Linked DNA regions of Schizosaccharomyces pombe. The protein of the gene in region 1 purifies or fractionates together with the protein of each later gene. This does not show direct contact. Each region holds a gene or a part of one and is shown on either strand. Other genes may lie near its edges. The genes, in order: mto1, alp6 and myp2.

The links.
Region 2: the proteins of mto1 (region 1) and alp6 purify together in Schizosaccharomyces pombe (affinity purification with western blotting; 2 studies listed by BioGRID, with this or other methods). This does not show direct contact.
Region 3: the proteins of mto1 (region 1) and myp2 purify together in Schizosaccharomyces pombe (affinity purification with western blotting, with the first as the bait; one study listed by BioGRID). This does not show direct contact.

What each region holds. Positions count from the first base shown.
Region 1 is NC_003421.2:1,677,669-1,687,478, forward strand, and holds mto1 (gamma tubulin complex linker Mto1), read right to left. Parts: upstream 5,604-9,810; coding exon 2,256-5,603; 3' UTR 2,093-2,255; downstream 1-2,092. Other genes in the region: mug27 (protein kinase Mug27/Slk1), read right to left, coding at 1-618, 661-1,110, 1,160-1,768; tef3 (translation elongation factor eEF3), read left to right, coding at 7,998-9,810. UniProt on the Schizosaccharomyces pombe protein: Spindle pole body (SPB) component that acts as the gamma-tubulin complex-binding protein of the SPB outer plaque.
Region 2 is NC_003423.3:476,382-485,828, forward strand, and holds alp6 (gamma tubulin complex GCP3 subunit Alp6), read right to left. Parts: upstream 7,448-9,447; 5' UTR 7,326-7,447; coding exon 7,198-7,325; exon of another isoform or gene 7,159-7,197; coding exon 7,097-7,158; exon of another isoform or gene 7,057-7,096; coding exon 5,225-7,056; exon of another isoform or gene 5,172-5,224; coding exon 4,695-5,171; 3' UTR 4,567-4,694; downstream 1-4,566. Other genes in the region: wpl1 (WAPL family protein), read right to left, coding at 1-139; DNA replication licensing factor Cdt1, read left to right, coding at 1,050-2,318; U3 snoRNP protein Utp15, read right to left, coding at 2,822-3,988, 4,198-4,515; Ctf18 RFC-like complex subunit Ctf18, read right to left, coding at 7,568-7,931, 7,981-8,111, 8,192-9,447.
Region 3 is NC_003424.3:2,545,156-2,556,946, forward strand, and holds myp2 (Myo3-like myosin II heavy chain myp2), read right to left. Parts: upstream 8,549-11,791; 5' UTR 8,511-8,548; coding exon 2,196-8,510; 3' UTR 2,105-2,195; downstream 1-2,104. Other genes in the region: vacuolar serine protease Isp6, read left to right, coding at 195-1,598; SPOM_SPAC4A8.06C (esterase/lipase), read right to left, coding at 8,858-10,594; lcb4 (sphinganine kinase), read right to left, coding at 11,618-11,791. UniProt on the Schizosaccharomyces pombe protein: Stabilizes the F-actin cables forming the F-actin ring that surrounds the nucleus during interphase. May work in conjunction with myo2.

The DNA.
Region 1 (9,810 bases):
GCGAAGTTGTCGCTTTTCACGATGCCGACCCACCAGTGGCTTTCTTGCGTTGGGTCGATACTTGAAGGTGAAACCAAGAAATTGTCTTTGATTACCGTTCATAACTCCATTGCTTTTTGCTTTTTGCTCTGCCTTCCTTTGCTTTTCGTACACATCTTTGTACGCATCTAGTACCTGTTCGTCATTGAAATCATCAAAATAGGAAGTATCAAGTTGATTCTCCAAGCGGGGAACAAATGGTGGCACAGCTCTTTTCCGCAAACCGTTCCAATGGAGTCTCTTAAAAAATGGATGCTTTTGGATTTCGATTGTGCTTTGAAATCTTGACGTTGGTTCTGTTAGACACTTGGTGATGAAAGACCATGCCTCGTCTGAAACCGATCTCGCTTTTTTGTCGTAAATTCCATTTTCATTTTTGGAGGGTCTCTGCAACATTTCTCGCCAGTAGTATAGATTAGTCCACGTTTCTTGGAGCGTTGACCCAGAAAAGGGAGGATATCCTACCAGACATTCATAACATATGCAGCCAAGTGACCAGTAGTCTACGGTCCTATCGTATTTCTTTCCGTAAACAACTTCTGGAGCCATGTATTCAGGAGATCCAACAACGGAATTTACCTAATTTTTTTTTAGTTTACGTTTGAATCAAAATGTCTTTACCTTGTTCTCATTCTTTTCCAAAAGCGCTTTATAAATGTTTCTTCTTTGCTTTTGTGTTAAATAAGGTCTCTGAGGATTAACCGCGCTCACTAGTGCATGTTGAAGTCGATTTACCTGATTCGATGTAACAATTGCAGTACTTAGCCCAAAGTCACTAAGCTTGATATGTCCCTTTTGATCAATTAAAAAGTTCTCGGGCTTTAAATCACGATGCATATAACCTAGTTTGTGGACTGCACTGATTGCAGCGACCATTTCTGCTAGGTAAAATCGGGTTTGATTTTCATGCAAAAGCCCCTTGGTAGTCAAAAAAGTTCGAAAATCTCCTCCAGGGACGTATTCCATTGCTAGATATACTTTTTCCTTATCTTGAAAGGCATAATACAGTTTTACAAGCCATTCGGAATTAGTATTCGTTAGTATATCTCTTTCATTCAATATGTGTTTCACCTGAGCCGTTGTTAGTTTTCTTTTAAGATCTTTAATAGTGTCTTCTTACTTCATTAAGTTGCTGTAATGTTGATTTTTTCATCATTTTCATTGCTAACAATTCGTGTGTGTTGCGCTTTTTAGCAAGCCACACAGAACCATATCCTCCTTGTCCAAGCTTTACTAATAAATCGAAATGGCTACATTGAATCTTGGTTCTTTTTTTTCTCAAAAATGCTCTTTCCCTTCCACAATGCTCTTTCCATAGTCGCTTCTGTTTAGATTGTTTTAATGACGATGTACACGCTGTAAATTCTTCCAATCTTTCCTTCCTTAGTTTATGGTACTCAATTGTGCTAATATAGTAATTGAGGAAGAAAACTTGACAGGCCATCCGCTTTCTTCTTGTCTCGGGTCGACTAAGTATTTCAACTTCACTGGGCTTTAGTAATTGGTAGTAAGTTAAACCTTTAGGATCATTTCTTTTCGTCCAGCAATTTTGTCTTTCTTCGTTGAGCACCATGCGTTCATTTTTCGAAGACACACTTGCTGACGCATTTTCCCTGTCTCGTAAATAGCCGCTTGATAGTAAAAATAAATCAGAAAATTCGACTCCATTTTCTTTTGCCTTTGATACTAGTTTGTTATTGTCTAATTCTTTAAGGCCCAGTAGGTCCATTCTATGTTTGTGGAATCGTTCTATAAAATTGTCCCAAGTGAATTGCTTTTTCCATGCAATGGATTCTTTCCTTTTTTTGCTCCTATTCAAGTTTATGTGAGCTCAATTTTGAAATTTATTTTGAGTACACGTTGTGCCTGAATAAAACTCGATTCTCCCAGCAAATGTAAACAAACACCGGGTTCTGGGAATTTTTACAAAGATGATACATGCGCAGTAAAATTTACTTAAAAAAGGTTAAATAAAAAATTATATTTCGAATTCTTTTGCGCGATTAAAATAAATTTTTTTTACGAATATGTGTGATTATTTCCTTTATAATCAGGGAGATACAAACACCAAAATGGTTAATCGAGAACAAAAAAAAATAAAAAATAAATATAAATCTTGGAATTAGCTTATTTTGTCAATTAAATTCTCCAACTAAGTAGATATGTACTGGTGATTAAGAAAAGCTATATACTTCAACCGCAAACTATCCAGATTATTATTTATGTTCTTGTGATGATATAGAAGGAGACCTAGAATTGCTTTCTTTATCCGTTTTTATTTGCCTTGAAAGACTCCTGTTTTGTCGAATCAAATCTTGAAGCCTTTCTCTGGCACCCAACTTGTCTCTTTTACGACCTTCTTGCTCAGCCTTGAGTTGAAACTCCATCTCTCTTAGTCTCAACTGCCATATATGGCTCATTCCTTCAGCATCTCGTTTCAAAGCTGTGATACCTCTTTGAACTGCTGACTTATCTGGAGAAGCGGGAACAAGCTTTTTATCCTCGGAATCCAAACTAACGCGTTTTGAAGCCCTTGGCGAATTTGGAATAGATGAAGTTGACCCAGCGCCTAAAAGTTTCACTCGTTCTTCCAACTGTGATAAACGCTTACTTCTAGCCTCAAGTACACCATCAAGCTTCCTGAGTTCGGTCTTAAATTCCCGCTCCATTGATTGACACTTCCGTTTGAATTCTTGAATGGATTTGTCCAACTCCCTAAAATTCATATTTACTGCCTGATTCATGCTTGAAATTGTCGTCAATGCTTCAACGTTGGTATTTACAGGCTTACTTCCCGTATTCAGTTGGGTAAAACGAGTGACAATGTTTTTTATGAGGGAATTTCTTTCTTCCACTTGCTCTTTAAGGCGTTTTTCAGATGCTTGTAAAAGTTTAAGTTCTCTAGATTGACTCCTTTCAGAAGGACTGGAAGATCCAGAGAGGTTTCTTCTGAAAGCTTGTGAAGACAAATTTTCCAACTCTAATTGGATTGCTTTTTTGGATCGTCTTTCCGCATCCAGTAAGTTCTTTAACTCCTTCTTTTCAGACACTAACGTCTCCAAAGAGTTTGTTTTTTCTTTTAAACTTTGCTCACAATGGTAGATTTTTTTCATCAACTTATCAGTACCAGACTGATCCTTTTTATTCTCATCTTTTAGTTTTCTTATCTGTTGTACCAAATGGTTAACCGAGCAGTGGGTGACCTGTTTATCAAATGTTTCCATAATAGCATTCTGCAAAGAATCGAAATTTTCGCGAAGGGTAACGTATTGATTATTTCTTTCCTCAATCTCACTTTTTAAAGAAGAGTTTGATGACAATATACCTTCAAATTCACGAAGTTTTTTATTTAATGAATCTAATTCGTCATTGTGCCTTTCCTTCAAGTTGCTAAGATAATCGGCTAACGATTCTTTACTCGTTGTAACGCTTTCCATTTCAGTTTTTAACTGACTAAGTTGATCATTTAACGACTCAATTTGCTCATTGAGTAAAAGTTTGTTATCGTTACTTTTCACCAGCTCGCTTTCTTTCAAAGCAATTACTTGCTTGTTTTCTTCATTTTCCTTCCTTAAAGAATCAACTTCTGCTTCTGTCATTTTCAACTGTTCAAGAAGATTTGATGTCTTTGAAGTTGAATCTTCCTTCGCTTTATTATTTTCTTCTTCCAAAGTTTGCAGCCGCTTTTGTAATTCGTCAAATTCATGGCATTTATCGTTATAACGTTCTGACAATTGGGTAATTTCATCAGTAAGCTTTTCAACCTCTTCTTTGAATAAAGAGATACTCTCCTCATTTTCCCGTATTGTTTTCTCGAATTTCTCAATTTCACGCTCTGCTTCAGTCCTAAGTTTACCTACTACTTCTTCGTAATCATCAGACTCTTTTGAAGACTTTGACAGCACCTCTTTGGTATCCTGGAGTTCTTGGGTAATCTCTTCGACATATTCCTGGAGTTGGTCAACATCTTCCCGCCATTGTTGCTCCATTCTCATCAATTTATTTTCATAATCCTCTTCAATATCTTGCAACTGTTTATATAAACGAGTAAGTTCAATTGATTGCTCTTGGGTTTTCATTCTAGATACCATCATAGAATCCCACAATTCATTCTTGCTTGATTCTGCCTCTACAATCGCATTCATCTTCCCTGAATTCAAAGCAACGGTAAGCTCCTCCACTTGTTTAACCAGGCGATCATTTTCCTGCTTGCGAAGTAGTAATGCTTCATTTTGCATAGATATGTCCATCCTCAACAGTTCATTACTACGCTGAAGTGTTTCAATAACACGCTCATCAGTATTTTTTGCAGGCATAGGAACTTTTTTGGATAACTGTACGCGAAGGGATTCCAACTCTTGCAATAGAGCTTCCTTTTCCCGCCGTTCGTTATCAAGCATATTTGACAGTACATTACGATCTTCATTGTATGCCCCAACAGAATAATTCGTCTTCTTTGATTTTTCTTTTCTCAAAGCCGCAAACGCTCTTTTGGTAGTTTCAAGCTCTGAAAGAGCCTGCGAATACCTCGATTGAAGAGTAATTAGGTTTGAAGGGGCCGGGCTGGGGGTGGAAAGGTTAAAAGACTGATCAGGCTTAATCCGGCTTTCTAATCCAGATATTTTTTTCTCATAGCCTGCAACGGCTCGTTGAAGCTCCATAGTAAGGGTCTTCAAATCGATGTTTTGCTTCATAATATCTTGAACCTCCTGATCGTGGAATTTATTTAATTGATCGTATAGAAAGTAGCATTTCAGTTTCAACCCAAACACTTCCTTTCTCAAATTATCAATCACGTTTGCTTGTTCCTTTAAAGTTAAGGAGGAGCCGGGCTGAGATTCCTCAAACTCTTTGGCAAGTGCATTTTTCCTGTCTTTTAGGTCTTTCATAGCAGACGCCGGTATCAATATATCGGAGATCTTTTTGCTTAAAGCATTGGTAGTGGGGGCATCTTGAGAATGTAAATAATTTCGTTCTTCTTTTATTGGGGTTAATTGCAAATCATCTTCATCATCCAAATGAGGTAACTGATCTAGAGAAGAAGAGATATAGTTCGGACTTGAAGGGTCCGAAGTATAATCGTAATTATTGTAACTATCTTCTTCATACTGCTCTTGGCTCTGAAACCCTTGATTAGCCGTAAGTACGGGAGAAAGCTGTTCATCATCAGTAGTAATGTTGTCATTGAGACGATCAAAATTCGTAGTATCCAAAAAAAAAGGTGCAACAGAACTATTTCCCTCCTCGTCCTCGCTATTCAATTTATTGACTGATTCATCGGGAGATTGAAGCGGAGTAGAGCTCGTTGGAGCAGTAGCATTTTGATGGAGACGAGGTGATCCAGAATCAGATTTTAAAGAATCTCTATCAATTTCAAAATCATACTTATGAGAAGCTTCTTCCGAATCTTCGTCTTTTGATGTAGAAGAGGGTAATTGCCGAGATCCTTCCTTTCTGGGTGATAAAATGCGACGAACTTCCTCGTCCGTCAGCGAAAGACCAGCTAAATTATCCACTAGAACATTAAAGTTATTACTATCTAACTCACTGGAATTTTCTTCCATAATTGATTAGAAAACGAACTTCGACATAAGCAAATCCAAAGCAGTAGGCATTGACTCTTGTAACAATTTCAAAGGAGCGATTTTTGAATAAGAAATTAATTCTTTCTTAAATTGTTAATTGTTAAAAGAAAGTATGGGATCGAAGATATGCCTATTGATACGCTATGGCATATATGTAGTGGCAGTAGTTCTCAATGGCTGTCTCTACTTGACGCATGTTAGACTAACGATCAACAAAGTAGTAGACTTGTAATTGCGGACTTTACAATTTTAGAAGGTTTAATGTTTGTGTTAGAAGCAGATATTTTCAAAAGAAGTTAATGAAATTAATTATACATTTGCACACACTCGTTTACATTATAAATAGCCATGTTATTTGGCATGCCTATGGCACATACACAAAACAATAGTACATACATTGATGATATGTAAAACGTAACTATGATTTTCATTAGATTAACTCTCCTCAAGTTAAGGTATGTTAACCTCATTTCACACTGTGAATCCTAAGTATATTAATTATTGATGGAATAAACGTTAAAAACACTAAAGTCCGCTACGATTATGCTTGAGTACATAGGTTTTCACGAACAAGCGTAAATTTGCTTTCCTACGTATAGTTGGTATGTAGCCTGAAATTATTTGTTTCAGTCTCTATTTTCACCGTGTTACATGATGCTACATTTCGATGATTTCAATCGCAACGGTAAATTGAACTATGAATATACGAACAAATATACTTTTCATTAAGAGAACATTTTTAATTTGCATAGTGTGTTCGAAACTTGAATTGAGTGAATGCGAAAATAAAGTCCTCTACAACTCATCAACTTGAGATATGTAGAGCAGCTGAAAAAAAATAATAATAAATAAATAAGTATATGTAAATTAATTTATCTAAGTAAATTAAGTTAATACTACTCAGTATTTTTTTTAATACAACAAAGAAAAGCATTCTTTCTATTAAGCGAAGGATTTTTTTTTTTTTTAAATCAATTACAATCATCACTTACTAGAATGAACCAACTAGTTGAAAACTTTCTTTTCTTTTCAATTTTTTTTTTTATTCAAGCTGATCATTGATCTGATATGTTTTCTTCAAACATTAATTCCATGAAATTGTTTAAAAAAATTTGCGAAAAAAAAAGTTGACAGGTATGTAAATATTACTAATATAGATTATTACAAAATAAAAGAGAAACTTGGCATCATCACTCGCTCTACATAATTTTTATTAAGTAAAAATGGTAATACATAAAAACTGCTTCAAACTCGTCAGTTACGTACTCTGCTAAATCGGTTAAGGTGTCAGCAATATTACATACGCTGCGATACACAACGCTGAATATCACTATATGCTACATATTCTAATTATACCATAGATGATACGATATTACGATTGTTCCTAATGAAATTATAATAAGTTCTATACTATCTGAATAATGCAAATGGAAGCACAATTGAAATGAAGAACGAGGATCAGTTATACGCTATATTAGTGATAGGTAAAAATATAACCTGTATAACAGAATAACTATACCCCAGTTGCGACCTTTATGACCCGCGTATTGCAATATGAATGATTATAAATATGTATTAAGATATTTGTAATAATGTAATACATTACTATGAATGCACTTAAATTAACTCGCGAATGAACTCATAAACGGAGTTCATTTGAGTTTACTTATAGAAATTCAATGAAGGATATATCTATATTCACCTTATATAAATGATGCGGGTATATAACGATCCAATATACAATCATTACAGTTCTGACTCTGAAAATATGATGTCCGACAGCAGCTATCTGAATGCGATTATGCCGACCCTATGCTAAATTCATTTAGTGCTACTGCATCATGTTATGCGACCAAAACCATATTATTGCCAGAGGTCATTTAGCCACGGAAAGCTTACAAGCAACATATGTTGAAAAGAAGAGTTACAGCGTCAAAAATCGTTCTTAACAACGCAGTGTGGTATTAGTTTAACGAGACATAAGGACCGCGTCGATTTGTTCATGGCATGCTTTATCTATAGTGATATCTTTAATATAGCCTTACATTTACAATGATATCGTCATACAAAGGACGCCGCCACTAAACACGTTATTTTATTTAGCGACTTCTAATTTTGCCGCTTAATAGTTTTTCCACGTCGCTAACCACTAAACACCGCCAAAGAAACCGTGGATTATGGCCACCACCAAGAAGAAAACCAAAGAAAAAGAACAGTCACATTGTAAATATGAGATTTAAATACATAAAAACATATTATTATTTTATTTTAAGTACTCCTTCTGTATTTTCTTAGTTGCAAAATTTTCATTAAGAAAATCCATTCATATACAACCAGGACCTCCGCTCATCTACCAACAACCATTTCCCCGGGATGTCTGCAAAGAGTGAGAATAAGCAGTCAGTCAAAGCTCTTGAAGAGTTGTTGAAGCACCTTACTGTCTGCGATGCCGCAGAGGAAGCTGATGCTGCCAAGGCTTTGGCTTCTTTTGTCAACGGACCCATCGAAGAGCAAGACGCGCCTTCTCAAGTTTTCTCTGCTATTTCCAAGCAGTTGAACGACAAGAACGCCACTGCTCGTGAGCGTGTCTTGAAGGGTCTTGAGGCCGTTGCCAACCATGGTAGTGTTGCCGCTGATGTCGAGCCTTACTTGGTCGAGTTGTTGCCCGCCGTCATCGCCAAGGTTGCTGACAAGCAAAACGCTGTCAGAGATGCTGCCATTGCTGCTTCTAAGGCTATTGTCCGTTGCACTACCCCTTATGCCGTCAAGGCCATCGTCCCCTCTGTTCTCGAGTCCATCCACACCACTGGTAAGTGGAATGAGAAGATGAACTCTTTGCAACTTTTGGATGTTCTCGTTGAGGTTGCTCCTTCCCAATTATCCTACTCCCTTCCTCAAATTATCCCTGTTGTTTCCGAGTCCATGTGGGATACCAAGGCTGAGGTTAAGAAGCAATCCAAGGAAACCATGACCAAGGTCTGTACTTTGATTGCCAACGCCGATATTGACCGTTTCATTCCTGAGCTTATCAACTGTATTGCTCACCCCGAGGAGGTCCCTGAGACTATTCACTCTTTGGGTGCCACTACTTTCGTTACTGAAGTCCAGGCCCCCACTTTGTCTATCATGGTCCCCTTGTTGGCCCGTGGTTTGAATGAGCGTTCCACTCCCATTAAGCGTAAGACTGCTGTCATTATTGACAACATGTCCAAGCTTGTCGAGGATCCTCAAGTCGTCGCTCCTTTCTTGCCCAAGCTTTTGCCTGGTTTGTACCACATCAAGGACACCATTGGTGACCCTGAATGTCGTTCCGTTGTTCAACGTGCCATCACCACTTTAGAGCGTGTTGGTAACGTTGTTGACGGTAAGATCCCTGAGGTTTCTACCGCCGCCAACCCTGAAGTTTGTCTCGAAACTTTGAAGGCTGTTCTCGGTGAGATCAAGGTCCCCACCAACGAGGAGGTTATTGCTAAGTACGTTGCTAACATTGCTGCCCAACTCGTTGAAGAGAAGGATAACGAAAATGAGTCCTGGGTTCTCAACATCACTCCTTACTTGACTGCCTTCATTGACGAGGCCCACATTCACAAGATCGTTGAGCAACTCCGTACCCGCTCTATCGCCAAGATTCCTGGTGGTGCTTCTCATGCTGAGGAGGAAGAGGAGGGTGAGGATCTTTGCAACTGTGAGTTCTCTCTTGCTTATGGTGCCAAGATTCTTCTTAACCGTACTCGTCTCCGTCTTAAGCGTGGTCGTCGTTATGGTCTTTGCGGTCCTAACGGTTCCGGTAAGTCTACCCTTATGCGTGCCATTGTCAACGGTCAAGTTGAAGGTTTCCCTACTCATCTCCGTACCGTCTACGTTGAGCACGATATCGACGAGTCTGAAGCCGACACTCCTTCCGTCGATTTCATTCTCCAAGATCCCGCTGTCCCCATCAAGGACCGTGATGAAATTGTCAAGGCTTTGAAGGAGAACTCTTTCACCGATGAACTCATTAACATGCCTATCGGTTCCCTTTCTGGTGGTTGGAAGATGAAATTGGCTCTTACCCGTGCTATGTTCAAGAACCCCGATATTCTTTTGCTTGATGAGCCTACCAACCATCTTGACGTTGTCAATGTTGCCTGGTTGGAGAACTTTTTGGTTAACCAAAAGGATGTTTCTTCCATCATTGTCTCTCACG
Region 2 (9,447 bases), on another chromosome or scaffold:
GTTTAGACACGGTCTGTCCTGGCGAGCGCTTTTGCTTGTTTAACTCTGAAACTGTCACGTCTAAAAAGTTCCAAACTTCCGATTCCGAAGAAATTCTCTTCAAACCATTATCTTTTTCCTTACATTTTCCTCTTTTCATTTCAAGGTTTCTTCAATCCGCCTGGCTTGACATCGATTCTTTACAAAAATGGAGGAACACGGTCGTACCAACTCACAATGTAGCTTGTCGAGTGAGTGAAAACCTTCGAAAATAGAGCTTAATAACTTCTTGAGCAAAGAAAAAAGAAAATAGGGTCCTTGATGAGAAATTCGTTTTTTATACTCAGTAATTTTAGAATCGTTTTTCTATTTGTACTTGGTTGATTTCAATCGGTCCTTATAGATATTTGAGTCACATTGTTACTCTACCCAGTATAAATAGAAAAGACTTAGTCGATAGAAATCATACAGGGCATCTTTTTATTCATTTATTATAGCAACTTATCCACTGATAGTAAAAAAGTTAACTAAAAGTTTTGAATTCGTACAACTTATGGAAGACCATAAGTGGACGAGTGGCTATTTGACACAAGTTTGTTTTCAGAGAGCCTGAACTTGGTGCAACACCTTTATTATACAGAAATCATTGTGACATGTAACATATTATTGAAAATTTCGACAACGAACAACTCAATAATATCTCGCAGAGCAAAGGAGTTATTCAAAATTTATATAACGATGCATCCTGTAATAATTTTAAACTCGTATAAGAGATTCTATAAAAACTTCGGAAAATGAAAAGCTGTAGTTAAAAAATTGTTTTGTGAATTTTGTACAAGTGTTGGAACTTATTTATTCAATATAATCTACTGAATCATATAGGCTAAGTAAGACATAAACTGATTAGTCGGACAAATGTGAACTAGTTAGCAAGCGCGACACGATAGCTACGCGACGCGTCAACAAACGCGACACGCTCAAATTTAATATAACCCTCGATATAAATGAAATGTCGCGCCCTATATAGTCACGACAACAATATCCTTATTTTTGGATTTTGTGTTCAAATCATGAGCGCTGGATCGCAAACAAAATTGAACTTCTCTGTCCGTAAAACTCGATCCTCATCAAAAAGGTCGAATGCGGCCATTATTGAGCCACCCAAAAATCCTGAGGATTCTCAAATAATACCAGCTGTTAAAAGGCTGAAAGAGAACTTGGACACTGAGTCTTTAGAACAAAATGAGGTTTTACCCCCAGTTAAAAATGAATCAGTTCTTTTCTTAGAAAAGGTCTTTAATGCAGTCGACATATGTGTAAAATTTCACCTCTCCATCAATACCAAACCAACCTTTGTGCTGTTAGAAAATAAAGTCTCTGGTCTCACCAAAATCTCCTTAAAAATAACTCATCTCGCTCAGATTTTAACCGTATGGCCAGAGTCATTTGCTATTACCCCATGTTTTACTATTCATCAAGGAAAGCGTGTTGCAACATATGAACTGTCATACCCTCGCAATGCGAATCTTCCTGAAGCCTTCTCCCGCTCCATTGAATTTAAACGGAGACTAGAAAAATGGTTGTTAGAGCATTGTTCTGAAACTGAGATTCCTGCTCAACAGTTACAAGCTTTACCCAGTCTATCCAAGAATACTGTTAATGAAAGTTCACTAGTTCGAAAGCTCAATTTGGAGAAATCAACAAGTCGCGAGTTACGTATTCCCACACAAACTCTAGAACCAAAATTCACTACTAACACGGCAAAATATGCTAATGAGTTAGTCTCGTGTAGCATGCTTGACAGTTCGTCCACTTTGTCAAAGTCAGTGAATTCAAAAATCAATTTGAAATCCCATCAAAGTTCTTCATCTGTTCAAAATTCATCGCGTAAGCTAACATCATCTCAGTTAACTTTGAGACAATCTTCTCTGTTCGATCGCGTGCGTAAAAAGCAAAAAGCAATGGAAGCAAAAAAAGCTGAAGAATTTAAAAACAACCTAGTTGTTCATACTCTAGCAAAAGAAAAGGTCTCATTTGTCCGCATTATTGATCTCATTTTTGTTCAGCTTTCCACTTGGCCAACTAAACGATCTTTTTCTATGTCTGAAATTGTGACAAGCATGCAAATGTCGATATCATCAAGCTTATCACCTGACCAGTGTGCCAAAGCAATTGAGTTGCTTTCAAAAGCTTTGCCTGCTTGGTGCACTATCAATCTTCTTGGTAATATTCAAGTAGTCACATTCAGCAGGATTGTTAATGGGAAACCATACTTGCGATCCCAATTAATTGAAGAATTGCAAACAAAGGCTAGCATCACTATTCTTTCAAATTCTTAATTGTAGGCGATGTTTCGAATGACATGCCTAAGATCACCACTGCTGGCAGTGGTTTAACGTTTACTATCTTTTACGATCTATATAATTTCCATCACCAATATTATGATACTATGGAATCTTTCATTAATTTACTTTTGTTATTATGTTTTTGGTTGATTTACTCTTCTAGGTACATGAAATCCGGTTATCCTTTTTAACAAGCTACAAAATTACTTTTTTTTAATAAATAATTATTTCCTTTAAGACCACTTAACCTGCCATAAATCCCAAGTTTTTGTTTTTCTGCGAATACTTTAAATTAACACCCAAACATTGAATAAAATTTTTTGATATTTACCAATTCCAGCGGCAAAGGGTGGCAGTTATTGCTGTAATTAAAAATCTCAAATAAGGCGCCGTTTTTAATAAACAATCTGAGTGAATCATATCGATAATGTAAAGGTTGCTAGTTAGAACACACAAATTGAGGTATAACTCGCACATTAAGATATCATAATCATTGGTCAAGCAGACAACATCTGAAGCATACCAACCAACTCATTTGCCCTTTGAGTAACCGCTACTTCCTGCTCAACTTTTTCACGAAGCTTTGAAATTGCATTTTCCACCATTACGCTGCCCCCAAGAGCAGCTCCGTATATATCTAAAATGGTGCTAGTAACTATACATAAAGTTTCGGAGAAACGAGGGTCTCTTATATATTTTCTTAAGAAGTTTATCAAAGGAGTAAGAGATAAATCATCTCTGTTAGACAATGCAATCCGTAACCCTCCAACATGAAGAAGCTCAATAAGCATAGTTATGATAAGAACAGGTGATCCGTTCTCCAATACCATATCCAAAGCATCAGAGTAACAAAATGATTTTAAAGCTTTGTCGAAAGGACGAAGTCTTTTACGTCTAGCCTCTTCGACATAAAATTCATCGTTCTCGCCCTTATAGATTTGTTTCTTTTTACCTACTACACCAAAAGCACTTCCGACGCCCCCTAAGAAAGGAGTTTTTGAGCTCGTTTGCTTGGTTATACGTCGAGTCCGTTGCGATAATGTACCGTTCGACATACCCACAACTAAATTGCAGCTATCCGGAGAAAGTCCCATAGATAAAATAGGGCCAGAATATTTCATGCCATGGACAACTTTCCAATCGGAGATGTTATAAATTTTCACATGTCCGTCTAAACCACCACTCAAAAGTCTAGTATTCTCGGAGTTCATGGCAAGGCATGTGATACTCTTTTGATGATTAGACAGCTTCTTCGTAGGTGTTTGTCTTCCAGCCACTAAATCCCAAACTTTAATGGATGGTCCACCAGCTGAAATAACAGTGCTACCAGATTGCATTGGAAGCACAACGTCAATCGCTTCACCATGCGAAAAAGACATTACTTCTGGGTCCGCAATTCGAGTATCCCATAAACGAATTGTACCATCATATCCACCACTCACAAGTCTAGTAGCACTCATCCATGAAGCAGTACGAACATAATCTTCATGTCCAGAAAGATCATACTGAACGGCACCAGTTGACAAGTCCCAGACCTTTACAGTTTTGTCATCGGATCCAGAGAGAAACGTGGTATTGGCATAAGGACAAAATTGTGTAACATGAACTGGAAACTGATGAGCGTCTAAAGCACGCAAAATACTCCGAGTTGACAAATCAAATATCTGAAAGTACATTAGCAATCAATGGCAACAAGAAAACCTCTAAAGTAAGTTTAAAGCGTTGACAAACACCGGAAAAATGGTATTTTTTTAGCTATATACTAGCAAATGACAGCTTCAATCAGCTAAACTAAACTAACAAAATTCCATGTGCAGCTTATCAACGTTTTAATTGCAACTATCTTTCAAAGCTTTTGGTAATGTAGACTTACCTGTACAAGTCCTGTAGCATCTCCTGCAAGCAAAAGTTTTCCATCCTTTCTAATGTTACCAGAATATGCGGTATCCTTAAATCGAGCAATTGTTTTTTTAACAGACCTTGAACTAGCTCCATAAATTTGTACACGAGCCCCACTAGTTACTGCAAAGTCATAAGGGGATTCAGCGGAAAAATGAATACTAGTGATAGCACTATATTCCTTGGCAACGACAGGAACCTTGAATGACCGCCAAAATTTATTTTCAGCAGTAACGGGATTAGGTAAAGCAGCAAAACGCTGAGGTTGAAGTCTACCAGCAGGCGCGGACATGATATCCGTATATGTGGTTGCTGAAAAAAGTTAACCAAATGGGTGGGTGGTGTTGGTGGTTGGCAAAGGCAAATTAAACAGCACCGCTGAACGATAGTTAAATCACATTAAATATTAATAACTAAATTTATAGTTTACTACGAGTAATAAAAGTTTAAATAATCATGCATGAACCTCATTTATTGACTGGTAACATCCTTATCATGACGCCGTCTATGAGAAACGTAGAATTCGTTATAATTGAGACGAACGGAAAGAAAGCGCATTTCTGGGTCCTTATGGGAAGCTAATCCATGTAATAATTTTTGAAGTCGAACCTGGAATTCCTCAGTAAAATTTGAGAGTTCATTTTTTATAGGGGTGTATTGAGCTGCCAAAGCATCAGTCGAAATTGGTACATTAATGCGAATTCTATTCGACAGGGAGCAAGAAAAGTTATACAACAACTCAATTGCATCATGAAAGTTTAAGATAACTTTAAGTATATCATGAAGCTGATGAAGGAAGGAATCTTCATTCCTTGACTTACCACCACCCAACAAGCCCTTATGAGTTATACTAGTAACATATTTTTCATGTGCCTCTATATACGTATCCAATGTAGCGTTTGGTTTCTCCATAGCAAGCTGTAATTCTTGCCAACTAATTTCGATAACCTGTTTCCAATGGTTAGTATACAATGCAAAATTGGGTTTTGGTTTTTCGTTACCTCAAAGAGTATATAATATTGAAGTTGACAAACAAAATGAATCATTTCCGCAAGATGACAACTGACAAAATGCCATTCGAATTTTGTGTAATCCAGATTTCTGAAGACATTTCGCTCGCCCAAATTTACTCGCCTCCAGGAATGGGCAAGGGCAAACTCAATTCGTTTCAACCTCCATAAAAAGTTAAATATTTTTAAGTATTGTCTAGAGCAATATGGTGTTATTATTACGTTGATAGGTGAATCAACTTTATACTCCAACGTAAAAACATCCCAACCAGTTTCACCATGTGAAAGCTCCAGAAGCCTAGCATCCAATCTTTTTAATACGTATTCAGGTTCATAAGATGCATTACTTGAACGAATGGCGCTTTCTAAAGAAGCAGTCAAATTGTGTCTGAACAAAGTATTAGCCGGCTGATCCAAAGAATTACCAAGGCTCTCCATTAATAAGTCCACAAAATCACCTTGTCCTAGTAAAAGGTATTTTTTGATAGCCTTTAAATGATCAGTCAAATGAAACACCTCTTCCATCAAGTATACTAAGTGATTAATGGACTCAGTATACGCCTTATCAACCACTGTTTCTAATGAATGAGGGTCTCTATAACTAAGTTTTTTCACTAGCTTCTGGTAATGCTCTTGTGCCCAGTCAAAATCACCACATCCATAACGTGCGAAGTTTAAACTCTTTCCAATCAAAAAGATTTTGTCGACAAGTTCTTCAGAAAGGAAACTTGGTATTAACTCTTTGTCTAAAAAATATTTACCTTTCCAGACGACATCACCTTGCCCTTGATGATCATGGCTTTCACTACCATTTTTTTCTTTAACAAAAAATTCTTGATAAGGGTCGACCAATTCTCCTTTATAAATCCAGTTTTCAATCATTTCGTATAAAGGTCCAGTAATTTCTGTTAGTATTTTATCACTCAATTCTTGTATTAGCGGATCTCCATGCACATTGTATTTCGAAACCACTTGAATCAATCTTTTTTTATTCTCCTGGTTCATATTATCATTAACAACTGAAGACAAAATTCTAAGTTTTAGCTTGGCAACTTGCGTCCAGGCAATGCAACGCCGGATAGTTACCATAGGCTTCTCAAGTGAAGCGTCTGCTCGAATTTGTGAATCCAGAGATGCAATTAACGCAAGGAAATTAGTCAGCTCTTTAGAAATGACCGATTTTAAACTTTGTAAAGCTAAAGACTGATCGTTTATAAATGCTTTACTAACGTTATCACCATCAATGGATTGACTGACCGAAGGATCATAATTGCTGAAAACCTTTAGTTCCTGATATAATAAGCCTGTCTCTGAAAGAGCTCGCATCTGTAAAAGGTATTGGACAGGTATTCTCTTAGACAACAGCGCTAATTCATTTTTAAACTGAACATATTCGGTAGAAATTCCTTGAAGTACGTAAGATATTGAAGACAACAAATCGGCTTCTGTAATCAAAGTATGTTGAACAGAAGAAGTTTCAGTACTACGGTTTAGCCTAGATGAATCATGAGCAATTGAGATAGAACTTTCATTTTCCAATCCTTCATCCCAATCAGTAATTTGGGGGTTTTCAGGAACTTGATCGTAACGTGTCTGACCAAAGTTTGAGGATTCCACTTCTGTTGATGGAATATTGATAGGATTGGAAATAGACTCATCTAATAAATGAGAGGAGACATCTCTTGATGACTGAGAAATAGGAGAGAGCAAGTATAAGAAATAGAGTATTTGAGATTTGTTGTGAATGACCGTTTGACTTTTCAAACGCGAAACTAAGTTAGATAATTTAGAAAATAAAGCATCATTGTTTTCTTCGGGGGGAACTAAAAAACTGTTAATTTTGGTATTTAGACCTTCACATACTTTTTGAATATATTTTGTACAGAATGTCATCAATGTCCAGTTGAAAAGTATCAGGAGAAATGCTAACAGTTAGCATGATCATTTACACGAAATTAGCTTACGAGTGAATTATTTCCTGAAAGAAAGACACGATCGTTTCAATTGTGTAAGGGACAGAAGGGTTTTTGGAGTTCTGTAAATACTTGTCCGCCAGACGTGATAATGCAGTTTTCACATGAATCTCCGACATTTGAGAACTTCAAATGACGAAAGTATTTTTTTTATTTTTGAATTAAAATAGAGAAATACAAGTATTGATCGTTAACTCAAAATCTTAAAGCCATTGACAAAGTACACGCCGAAGTCGCGGTCAGGAAATAATGGTTAGATGAATTTACGCATACACCTATTTTTACTAGTGATTTTTTTTTAAATTAAATGATTGATTTTATTTCAAAAAGATTGAAATTAAAAATATTAATGCACATTAGATTAGAAATTCAGAATCTCGTTCAACGATATTGGTTTTCTCACAGCATTGGAAAACCCATCGTGAAATTTGATATTGATTGCATGCTTGATGGAAACTGGATGATCTCCTGTATTCAAAGCTGCATTATTCGATGTAACTGCTTCAGATTTTGGTTCAGAAATGATACGGCCAAAAAAATCTCTCTTAATTGCTTTTCCGGAATTAAAATCTTTGCGCTTTCTTGAAGAATTCGAAGAAGTGGGGTTGTCCGTTAGGGTTTGTTTTTTAATGTCTGCGAGCCTTTTCTTGAGCAGTTCCTGAGATAGCATTTGACGAACAGAATATGAACTTGTAGGTGCGTCCCAAACCAATTCATCCAAAGGTCTGTCAACGTTAGCTATTACTAGAAAGAAATAAAAATATTGGAACTTACGGCTCAAGCCTATACACATAGTTGCCATCTCCAACGGGAAGCTGTTGGAAACGCAAATTATAATGATTTAAAATGTTAATCGCATGCTCAATTTTAGAAGGTAAAGCGCTCCTTGGCATAGAATCTTCTTTCTATAAAAAGTTAGTAAATTAAAAAAATATTGTTTCACGCAATTTTTTTTTTTTTTTTTTTTAAAATATATAGACCTTACCTGTTTTAGTGTAGGATTTATGGTAATTAAAATTGTACGGATAAGTTCCAAAAGAATTGATCTTTCTCCATGCATTTGATTTTCATAAGCATTTAGCGTCGATATGAATGAATCCAATATTTCTTTGCGAGTACGATAAAGTTTTAAAGCTTCCAAATCACTTCTGGGAGGATGCGGAAGGCGGCACTTTTCAGGAGTTGCATACAAATAATGAAAATGAATAATGGAATAAGGTATGTACCTCCATAACTCATAATTTCCCTTATAACATTGTGAATGAAGTTGGTCGAAAAAGTAAAGCCACTCGCTTGTCAAAGCAGGTTTAGAAAGTAAGCTATCAGTAAAAGGAAGATCTAAGTATGTATGAAAACAATTCATCAAGACTGATTCAGAATCATTAGCTCCATCAATCCTTGCAAGGAGGGCGTCCAAATGTGAGTAAGTAGGTTGCGATGCTTCAATTGCACGTATTTGTTTATTATCAAGTTGTAAAAAAAGAGATTGGATTAAACTAGAAGTACTAAAAGAATTACTTTTTGGTTGCAAAAGCTTTATGGTCTCAGAATCTATACGTTTGTTATTTAAAGACAAAAGTTGTAAACTGTTGATACAGCTTCGAATGTCAGAATTATAGATATCTGTCAGCAAAGTCAAAGAGCGGCTGTCAACAGCTATATTTTCATTTCGGCAAATAGTCCTTAAACGACCGACAAGAGATGCTTGAGGAGGTGGTCGAAAATATATTATTTGAGCATATGGTCGCAGAGGTCGAAGTGCTGGAGTATATAAGTCATTACAAATGCAAATAATGGGACGACAAAGTTTCTTAAACTTTTTCTTTTTCTTTGAATTACCAGCTTGAGAATACTCAGTCGCTTTTTCGTCACTCTCTAATAAACTCAAAAGTGCTCGTACGAATGCAGGATCACCTCCGTCAATTTCATCAACTATAACACATGTAGGTTGAGATGACAAGGCTGAATGATTGCTAATGGCAGAGGATACCTTTTCATGAACCGTATGAGCAGTACGATCATCACTAGCATTTATTTCCAAAACTTTGTATCCAGCCTGATGAGCAATAACATGAGCCAAAGTCGTTTTACCTGCACCTGCCAGTCCAGTCAGCATCATAATCCGTTTATCAGGTCTATCACTATCAGAAGTGATATTAGTAAATCTGGGGTTAAAACGCATACTCTTTGAGGGCTGTAATCGAGATTTTCCAAACACACAAGGATCCCAAGCTTTTATCC
Region 3 (11,791 bases), on another chromosome or scaffold:
AACTTGGGATAGATAGTTAGTTTTTCAATAGTCTTTGTCATCTGTTTTCCTTGTCTTTCTTTCATAAGTAAACACGGAACAACGATACTTGCCTACTGTTCAGCAATCTCAGCAATTTAACCGCCTTCAATCACTACCCCAACCACAATCACAATCACTTCCCCCTCCAACAGCCTCGTCTTCTCAGCATCAACATGAGAATTCCTTATTCAAATCTTTTTTCTGCCGCCGCAGGTTTGGCCCTCTTCGCTTCTACTGCCTGTGCTGCACCAGTGATGCCAGCGACTGATTCGGACATTGCCCATGCTGGTATCCGTCCTGAGCTCGATAACGCTTTCTACGACTCCCACGGCGAAGCCGCTACCCCTAAGCACAAACCTCATGCTGGTCCTAATGCCGCTCCTCTCTTGTCTGCTTCCAACGCCGATACCACTGGACTGGACTCTCACTATATCATTGTTTTGCAGCCTGATTTGAGCGAACAAGAATTCCAAGCCCATACTAATTGGGTCTCGGAGATGCACCAAATGGACATTGCTTCTCAAGAAGATGAGTACTACGATACTAGTGATAGTAATTACATGTTTGGCTTGAAGCATGTTTATGACTTTGGCGAGGACTCTTTCAAAGGTTATTCTGGTCAATTCAGCTCTAACATTGTTGAGCAAATTCGCTTGCATCCTCATGTCATCGCCGTCGAGCGTGATCAAGTTGTCAGCATTAAGAAACTTGAAACTCAAAGTGGCGCTCCTTGGGGACTTGCTCGCATCTCTCACAAATCCGTCAAATACGATGATATTGGCAAATATGTTTACGATTCCAGCGCTGGTGACAACATCACCGCTTATGTTGTAGATACCGGTGTAAGCATTCATCATGTTGAGTTCGAAGGTCGCGCTTCTTGGGGTGCAACCATTCCCTCTGGTGATGTTGATGAGGATAACAATGGTCATGGTACGCATGTTGCTGGTACCATTGCTAGCCGTGCTTATGGTGTTGCAAAGAAGGCTGAAATCGTTGCTGTCAAGGTTCTCCGTTCCAGTGGATCTGGTACCATGGCTGATGTGATTGCCGGTGTTGAGTGGACTGTTCGTCATCACAAATCGTCCGGCAAGAAAACCTCTGTTGGCAACATGTCTCTTGGTGGCGGCAACAGCTTTGTTTTGGATATGGCTGTTGATTCTGCCGTTACCAACGGTGTTATTTATGCCGTTGCTGCTGGAAATGAGTATGATGACGCTTGCTATTCATCTCCTGCTGCTTCTAAGAAAGCCATCACCGTTGGCGCTTCCACTATAAACGACCAAATGGCCTACTTCTCTAACTATGGTAGCTGTGTTGACATCTTCGCTCCTGGACTTAACATTTTGTCTACATGGATCGGTTCAAATACTAGTACTAACACCATCTCTGGTACTTCTATGGCAACCCCTCATGTTGCAGGTTTGTCCGCTTACTACCTTGGCCTACACCCTGCTGCCAGCGCTAGCGAAGTTAAAGATGCTATCATTAAGATGGGTATTCACGATGTACTCTTGTCTATTCCTGTTGGTAGCAGCACTATTAACCTTCTCGCTTTCAATGGTGCTCAAGAATAGATTTTACTTCATGTTGGATGCATTCGATGTTTTCAATAAGTCGGTGTTTGATTTTCAATACATCGAGTAATTGTTTTATTTTTTTGAAAACGTTTGCTCCTTTTATGATTGTTCTTTACAAACAGTTTATAATGATTGTTATGACAATAAATATTTTATAATGCAAGCCACTGAATCACGTTTAGAATTTTTATACTTGAATGAAATTTTTTTGTGATGTTCTTCCAACTTACAATGTTAAAGTGTAATTGTAAATGTCCTCTTCTTTTATTTGTATTTGTATTTATATTTGTGCCGCTGTTATGCAAGAGCTCTTCTACATTTAATATCGCCGCCTATCTCTTCATAGTTTTCTTTTACAATGTGATTGCTGCATATAACCATTGTACAAATAATAGGGGTAAAATAAAAAGTAAACCGAACTAAAATGCCTTTTACTTGACCGACTTACTTTTTTTTTTGAACTAAAGTATCCTTGTGGTTACTTGTTACGTTGACGCAGAGCATAATAATAGTAATAATAAAATAATTTTAAATTCATGAACTAATAATTTACATCATCTTAAAAAATACATGTCGAGTCTTTGGGAAGCTTGGCTACCTTAGAACGCTAGGCGAACGATTGGACCTCATGGATAATCTACTTTCACTTCTCTTTACTCTTTGACCCTCCAGCAAAGATCTATATTTATCAAAATCGGTTTCCAAACTTTTGACGCGTTCACGCTCTTCTTGAAGAGCATGTTCCGTCCGACGTAGTGCAAATTTCCATTGTGTTTCTGAAGCTTGCACATCTTCTAATTGATTTCTCAGTTGCGCATTTCTTTCCTCCAAACGAGAAACTGAGCTCTGTATTCTCTTTTTATCATCATCAAATTTTGATATTTGAGCTTCCAGTTGACGGATAGTCCTATCGCGATTGCGACATTCATCAATTCCTTTAATTCGTTCGATGTCGGAAGCAGCAAACGATGCTTCCAAATCTGATATTTGCTTTTGTAGCATTCGGACGTCCTTTGATGTTGATATGGGATAAGTTTTAAGATCTAAATCAAACAATTTGAGCTCCAAATCCTTTTTCTCCTTTTGTAAAACTCCGAGTTGACGATGCAGTTGAAGATTTTCTTCTCGATGATTATTACTATCTTTTTGAGTTTTTAGCGCAAACATTTCGATCTGTTTTATGCGTTCAACTAATGATGATAGTAAGTCATCTTTTTGAGCAAGGTTACTCTTGAGTGTTAATACCTCTTTCTCCATTTCAATTTCATCAAAAGGTCTTGCAGAACTATCGAATTTTTTGTTCAATTGCTCTGAAACTTCGTGAAGTTTTCGCTCAAGGTTTCGATTTTCTCTTAAAAGGGTATCTTGATCTTTTCTTAATGTCTGGTTTGCTTCTCGTACTTCTTGGAGTTGTGCAGTCAAAGAAAGAAGTTGGCTTTGGGCATTTTGTTGCGCTGTTGAGGAAGAATTATTGACACGAGAAAGAGATTGTAAGTCTGCTTGAAGTATTGAATTTTCTTTTAACAAATTTGTCTTTTCCAAAACTAATTCGTCAAATTTGGTACGGATATCACCAATTTCCGCATGCATGTGCCGATTATCTTGTCTAATGCGCAAGTTCTTCTCACGTTCTTCTTCCAACTGTACTTTGAAACCATTTAGCTCCTTTTGATAACGTTGAAAGAGTAGTTGATCCTTCTTTTCTCGTTCCTCGAGATCTTGAACACGAATGACATGAAACTCATCAATTTGTTTCATCAGTTTTTCTTTTTGCAGCAGCAAAGTATTATAATCGTTGCTCTTTTCAACGTAAAGAACTTCATACTCCTTTTGTTTCACGACAGCATCTGCCAGTTCGTTTTGCAGATCAGCATTTGTTGTTTGAAATCCGCGAGCGAGTTCTTCAACTTCCTGTAAACGCCCGGTAAGATAATTTTTAGACCTTTCAGCTTTAGAAAGTGAAGATTCTGCATGCTCATTGAGTGACTGGACCATCGCAAGCTGTTCGCGGTACTTGTTAACTGTAGAAGTAAGCTCCTTTATCTTCATTATATTAACTTCTTCTTGCAACCACTCGGTTTCTTCTTCTCCAGAATAATTAGTTATACTACCATCAAAATTGGGAATTATTAATTGAGAAGCAGTGGGAGCCTTTAAAGGAGATGTAGGAACAGAAGGTCCTTGCAACCCATGAAGCAAACGATCTCTTTCCTTGGTTATCTCTCTTAAAGCTTTTTCCGTTGAAAACAGCTTTTCTTCGCTTGCCGAATATAACTTTGCAATAGCTCGCTTCGATGATATTGCCTTTTCCACAAAACCTTTGATTTGGTTTCTAGTATTATTTGGAACATCTTCAAGTAATGGAGCAAAATCAAGCATTTTATCATCACTGCCTAAATTACTAGTAGTTAAGTTTTTAAGTTCCTCATTTTCTTTTAACAAAGATTGTATAAGTTCCGAAAATTTTGATAGATCTTTGTTATCTAAGATTCCAGACTTTGTAGCTTCCTTTAACTTCAAATTGATTTTTTCAAACTCTGTTTGAAGCACGGAATTCCGTTGATTAACGATAAAGGGATCAGGAATACTACTATTTTGATCAAAATTTCTAATCAGTGCTTCCATTTTGCCAGATCTCTTTGAAGGTGAGCCGGGTTGAGAAGAGGGTAAATTGCTGATTTTGCTTGGAGACAAAGGTTTCAGCCCAGTAAATTCCATATTAGATTCAGGATTATAAAGCTTTTTCTGCAATGATGATATTAAACCACTTTGAGCATCAGAATTAGGATTGCTTAATAGCTTCCGAGAATTCATGATAGCTTGAGTATCTTTAAAAATGTCCGGGGAAGGTCTGTCAGAATTTGATGCATTGAGACGTTCCTTTAATTCTGATAAAGTACTCAACCCTTTTTCAAGCTTCCTAATAGAGTTTGGTATGTGTCCCGAAATGTCAGTAAAAGATAAATCCTTAGAGAGGGAATACAGATTGCTAAGTTCTTCTTCAACGGTTAGTTGCAAAGCATCAAGGCTTTTACTAATTGTTTTCAATAATTTATTGTCAATTTTTCGATCATCGTTATTACCATCAATGCGTTTTAGAGGATCACCTGAATGTTTCTCTTCAAATGATGGATGTGGAGAATTTCCATCTAAAGTGTGTTGTGTAACTGACCGATTTTCTGTTTTTTGTTTTAATAGCCCAACTTTACACCTTTCCTTCTGAAGCTGATTCAGTAAATCTGAAATTTTATGTTCATAACGGCTTTTTATACCTTGGAAGTCTATGAAATCACTAGCATTCTTCTCCAAAACACCATTTGTATCTTTCAAATCCAGATTATCAGCATTTAAAGAGATAATTTCAGTTTCCTGATCCTGAATTTGGTATTTTAAGGCCTCAATTATATCACATAGTTCAGAATTTTTTCTACGAAGCTTTTCTTCAGTCGCTATACTTTGCTCAAGCATCTCACTTATCTCTTTAATCCGTTCAGATAACTGGTTTGCTTCTTTCGTATGTAATGATTTAAGCTCTTGAACATCCTTCAAAATTGAAAGCGTGGTCGAAGAAGTAGAATAAATATTCTCATCACTGTTTAAGGGGCCACTTTTTACATCATTAATGTTATGAGTTTTCTCAGGATTTTGAAAAGCTTTATGAAGTTGATCTCTGTATTCCGTGATTTCCTTCTGAAAGATAACTAACTCGGCTTCCTTCTTATTCAATTCACTTTCTGTTTCTGAGTATTTGGAAACAAGACTTGCTAATTGAGATTCGTAAGTACGACATTGGTCTTTTAAGCTTGCGTTTTCTTCCCTTAATTCTTGAACCTTTGTATCATAACTTCGTTGCTTTAATAGTAACTCATCATCAAGTCTCATGAGTTTCTCATTCAATTCGCGAATATTTAAATTCTTTTCGTTAATAGCCTTTTCAAGATTTGATAAATGCTGCGAACTATGTTGATAATCCGCCATGATATTCAGATAGTCTTTCTCAAGCTCTTTATATTTAGAAGAAATCGTTTGCTCGTCCTTCTTAATTGAAGACAGCTTTTTCTCCAATGTAGATGATAAATCGGAAAGATAAGAAATTTCTGTCTGTTTGTTGGCAAGGTCCTCCTCTATGCTTTGCTTCTCTGCATACAAAAACTCATATTTTTCATCAGCAATAGTTACTTGATTTTCCAAACTTGACAGTCTCTCATGAACAACTTCAACCCGGCTATTGGCTCTTTCTACCAAAATGTCCTTTTCATGTGCCAGAGCTTGTTCCTCTTGCAAATCGTTAGTCAATTGTAAGACTCGTTCTTTGGTAATAGTTAATTCGTTTGCAACTTCCTTGGTACTTTCCAATTGATTCTGTAAATTATTTATGAGTGCGTCTTTTCTTCTTAAATACTCATCAGTCTGGGTTGTTCCCAATAACGGTTTAAGATGCAGAAAAAGATTCCACCAAGGATGTGGCTTCAATAACTTCAACTGCCTCAAGTTATGCTGTAGAAGGATAGCTGCATCTTGCCTATGATTAAACCGGTAAAGTCTCCGTCTTGTCAAAAACCCACGAATGCGAGCTGAAAATGAATTAAATATCACCCGCAGTAAAGCGTTTCTGCGATCCTCTAAAGAACCCAAGACACTGGCTTTAAAAAATACCTTTGTTTCACCCAAACGGTATACGGTACTAGGTAATTTTAATTCATTGATGATCGTTATTGTTGCCTTTTTTGCTTCGACATATCCTCTCTTTAATGACTGCGAAAGAATCCCATAACGAGCTCTAAATTCTGTATAAAATAGTTTGTTTGGAAATCCAGTTTGAGCAATTCTAATACCCTCCAGTACACCGTTGCATCGAAGTTGATGAAGAACGAGAGATTTATCCAAATTGTGAGGCTGCTTCAAATTGTTTGGAATAATGCATCTGACAAAGTGAGGCTGAGTTGCTTCGAGTTGGTGCATAAGACTAGAAAGCTGTCTCCTATGACGCTGCGACACAGTACGAAAGATTCCTTTCTTTTCAATGTTATCTCGACCACTAGCATTTGACGAATAATCATCAAAAAGAGAAGACACATGACTGTTAGTAGATTTGAACATTAGTGCGGCAAGACATGCATTTAGAGGATCTTTGTTTTTCTCCAGCCAATCTTTGGTATCATATTCGACATCACCAGCATAATGTTTTAAAACAAAGCCTTCACTAGAAAACTTTTTAGGACGGTATATATCGGATTTACCCTTAAAAAGAAGGTGAAGTTTTTCTGTGAATGTAGCATCAGTAGCCATTGGCATAACACAATCCTCGTCGAGGCAAGAAAAAATACCAATGGGCTCAGATTTTTCGATAGCATCTATGGTGGGCTGCAAATCATTTCCGTAGTCAATAAAATCCCATTCGATGCGTTCTTGTGTATATTCTTCTTGTTCCAGAACGAACATGTAATGATTAAAGAATTGCTGAAGCTTTTCATTTGTAAAATTAATACAGAGTTGCTCAAAACTATTAAAAGTGAAAATTTCAAACCCAGCAATATCTAAAACCCCAATGAACCCATCATGTTCAGACTGAGAATAATACATAGTCTGATTCAGACGTTTCACTAAATGCGCAAAATTACGCTCATAAAGGCCTTTGGCTAAGGATTGTAGTGTATGGACTACTTGTTCACGTGTTCTTGCCGTCACAATCCATTCTCGTCCAGCTTTGGACTTTGGGTGTAAAGCTGCATTAACAAATCCATCAACAGGGATTTCGAGTAAATGGCATAATTGATCAATTTGCGTTAAGGAAGGAAATCTAGCTTGCCCCGAACGATCAGATGCTACTTCAATATTTCCTATATGAAGAATTGAAGCTATAATTAAGAACAAACTGTGAATTTCGTTATTATCAAACCCCAAAGTTCTGAGACCAAAGCATAATTTTTGAAATTCTTTGCCATCATCGACTCCATTAATATGCTTGAGACCATTTTTTAAATATGAGTAATGGTCAACATATCGATCAAGGAAAAGACTTTCAAGCAATGATCCATCAGCACCTCGAAGTAGTTGATAAAAGACGTGATAATTGCGTTCATTGGAGGAAGGATGTATAACGCGAGATTTTTCCAAAAGGTACCAGTCTAAATTCGCTCCAACGATGCTTCCATTATTAGAAAATTCAATTCGTATGAACTTGCCAAAGCGGGATGAGTTGTTATTCCGGACAGTCTGAGCATTCCCAAAAGCCTCCAACACAGGATTCGTTTCAAGGATTTTCTTCTCCAACTGTTGAGAATCGCTTGTGGAAGCATCAGTGACCGATGTTAGGTACTGAATAACCTTTTTAGTAGTTTCAGTTTTTCCAGCTCCTGATTCACCAGTAACTAAAATAGATTGATTGATCCTCCTTTCTAATAAACTTCGATATGCGGCATCAGCTGTTCCAAAAATATGGGGTTTAGTTTCTTTAAACTGTTTAGATTGGTATTTTCGCACAACATCATCGCCATAAATTGGTAAATGACAATAGGGGTTTACAGCAACGAGAAACAAGCCTGAATAGGTATATATTAAATCTTTCTCATAACGCTGAGTAAGGTTGTTAACTACTGATGGTTCGTTGAGACATGTCAACGCAGCCATGTCATCAACCATATCAAACTTCGGTGGATTTACTTTTTCAGCATCAAATCCATCCACAATTCTTTCCGAGCCATCTCTTTCTAATTTCACCCTATATTTTTCTCCTAAATCTTCAACTATCCAAGCTTTCACGAATGATTCCTTCGAATCAGGAATCCAGATCCATGTCCGTTCATCAAAAGACGCGTCTTTCACGGCATTGCAATGTTTTTCAGCATCTACTAGCTTTTTGATAATATTATTGTTGTCGTTAGAGCCATTTTTTGAAAGATACGACATTAAATTAAGAAGTATAACACATTGGCAATGCTGCAGCTGTATAAATCATGACTGCGCAGCAATGTAAATATTTATGAATGTTACTATGGCAACGAAATACAAATGGATTGTTTACAATACTATGTAAGAGAATACTTATAAATGGTTAAACAATAAATTATACCTGTTAAAATGTAGTAAGCCAGTCGTCTTTTGCCAGGATATTAGGCACGTATGTGGATATCCCTTAGTAATCTTCTGATAAAATAAATAAGTTGAAGTAAAGTGAATAACTAAAGAACTCAACTTCAACGAAAAAGGAAATCGAGAAGAGATAAAATAAAAGAATGAAAACAAGTCTCAGGCAATTATTGTTTTTTTTCGGGGCTAATTTTACAGTTAGCTACCAAGGCAGAAAGTGGAGGATTTTCCCCTTCCATCGTATACTCTTTGGGCTTGACTAAATACCCATTTAAATCGGCGTGTTTAAATTCAGCGAAGTACCGTGCTGGCTTTTTAGTGTCTTTACTGAGCAAGATTAATTCAACGTCAATCCAGCGAATGAGTGCTTTCACCTGTATAGTACCTAAAGCACTTTTCGGTAAATTTAAACATTGAATTTCATCTTTAGGCTCCATCAATCGTTCCTCACCATTTCGCGAAATTCTTAAACGAACCATATCTTCATTAGCATGAGACGGATTACCATCAAGGTGTTTATTAGGCGATACAAAAGACGAATCATGCTGCTTTAAACACCAATAAGCAAAATTAGCAGCACGTCGGACCATAATCCCAGCTTCTTTTACAAAAGGAAGAGCTGTAACGACATGACAACAATCATCGTACATTTCCAAACGAACCTTTGTACGCTTACCATTGTATACGTCTGTATTCATTTTGTGAGCGATGTACACTATTTCGTCTCGTAAGCGTTCGCCCGATCCACCCAGAACAAGTGACGGCGGTAAACCACCAAGGTTTTCAGTGAAGATAGGACTGATCAGAGGATGCTTTAAATTTGCATTAGAGGTATAAAACTGTACTTGAAAAGGAAATGTAGTCAAAATGTTAGGGTCTAAACGAGAGTCCACATTGTCAAAATCAATACGTGCATGTTCTTTATCCATCTCTTGCAACACGGGGATCAAATTTTTGATGGTCTGAATTTTTTTACGTATGCTGTTTTCAATAAAGTTAGTCAATTCTTGTTTCTTGGAATAATTTAGTAATTCCTTTTCGGATATCGTTGAGAAAGAATCTAAGTTAGTAATGGGCCAATATCTGCTGGCTCGGTGATGAAATCCTTCGCTTGGAATATAGTCAGCAGCATCATCTGCAACTACAGAAGGAAGACTATGAGTCAAATCAACCCAAGGGGAATCATAAACTACTCCAGCAGGTAAGGGTAATTTTGAATCTCTAATCAAAACTAGTGATGCAACGATTAAACCAGCACCTGAGCTATCGCCCATAAATATTATATTTTCTGGCTTGGTGCTTTTAAGTAGATACAAATAAGATGAAAGTACATCATGCAAAGAGCAAGGAAAGGGAAATTGCGGTGCTAACCGCAGATCTGGAGCAAAGGTTCTAGCACCCAGAGCTGCAGTATGACGCTGAATATGATAAGCATTAGTACGAACAGTACTTAAATAATGAGCACCTCCATGAACATAAAAAATAACTTTATCACATTTGAGATTGTGCCTTATATGATGTCGCCTTTCAATCCACCAGGATTTTAAAGGTGACTTTCGATAAAGCCACCAGTTTGAGCCCCCAAATTGTTTAATGCCTTCTGGTCCCAAATAGTTTCGAATGTAAGAAGCAGAATCTGATTCTGACTTTGAATCTATAGGTTGTGATGTAAATTTAAACTTAAACTCATCCGTTAAGCTCCTTGAGCAAAAATCTTGAACAACTTCTACTTTATAATCCCTGCTATCAATTAAAAATTTTTTTAAAATCGACACTCCCAAATCAAGCATGAAAGTTCTATTCTTGCGTAACTCATGATGAGCCAGGAAACGGAATGCTTGACTAAACGTTTTAGATATTCCATCATTAATTGATTCGACAGTTAACTGCTCCTTTTTCAGCATTGTCTAAAAAATAACGGTTTTTTAGCAAAAAATCGCATAGATTTATTTTTTAACTCTATTAGAAGGATAATGATACAAAAGTATTAAAAAGAACAAAAAATGCTGCCAAAGAGAAGCATAACATTTAAAAGAGACGTTGTATTTATATTAATTCATAAATGCTGCAACTCTTGGCCTTACTACAGAGTAATGCTCTCGCGATTGTTAGTTTTATACTATGCAAAAAATGCTTCGGCCTTCAGTAAAACTCACTAAATTGTTTTTGACGAGCTTTACAACTAAGATGGGTATGTTTACATTATTTAGCTGTAAGTTAAATTTACTTATTTTTTTTGTTTCCAATAGTTTGACTGGTAAGTATTCATCATATTTTAATATCTATATATGCAGATTATCTATGCCCACCAGAACAAAACGCATTATACGAGGTATAAATTTGAAACACAATAAACTGGCGCTGGACACGAGTAACTTCTTCTAATGCACTTCATAATATTATGAGTATCATCATATGAATAGGAGTTTTTAAGCCTGTTTTATTATCCGTCGTATAAGCAATGTAATGAAGACATAAATGTTTAATAAACAAATTCTGATAACGTATAATTGACTACCTCTAATTCGACTATTGAACAATTAAAACCTGAAGTACAAAATGATTAGTGATAAATCCAGTGCATCGCAACACCACTAAACGTGCTAACGAACAGGAATAGAAGTGTACTTCTTCAGTCTACGATAACGTTTTGTAATTTCCTAATTTGCAAATTAGGATGGGCGAAAGTACAAAGAAAAAGAATACTTAATGCTCTTGCTTTTGTTCGGAATCTTTCTAAATGTCGTATATAAATTCGGAGGAAAAGAACTCTTAGTTCGCTGTTTATTAAATACAATTAAACGAAATTAAAACAAGTCTAAAATTATAGAGCCTAAGCGTGGCTTAATTACAGAAAACTAATTAATTAATGAAAACCCCAATAAGTTGGACAAATTGAAAAAAAAAAAAAAACCACTCGCTGTTGCTTATATATCCAACAATTGAAACCCTGCAACAGGAGATAAAGTAGTTCCTAATTTTGGAGCCACGCGACATTCAAATGGTTCCAATGGGTAACTTTCACCATCTAAAGCAAAATAATGACGCTTTCCCGTATTAACAGGAGTAAATCGAAAAGAACGAACTTTGTAATAGTTTAA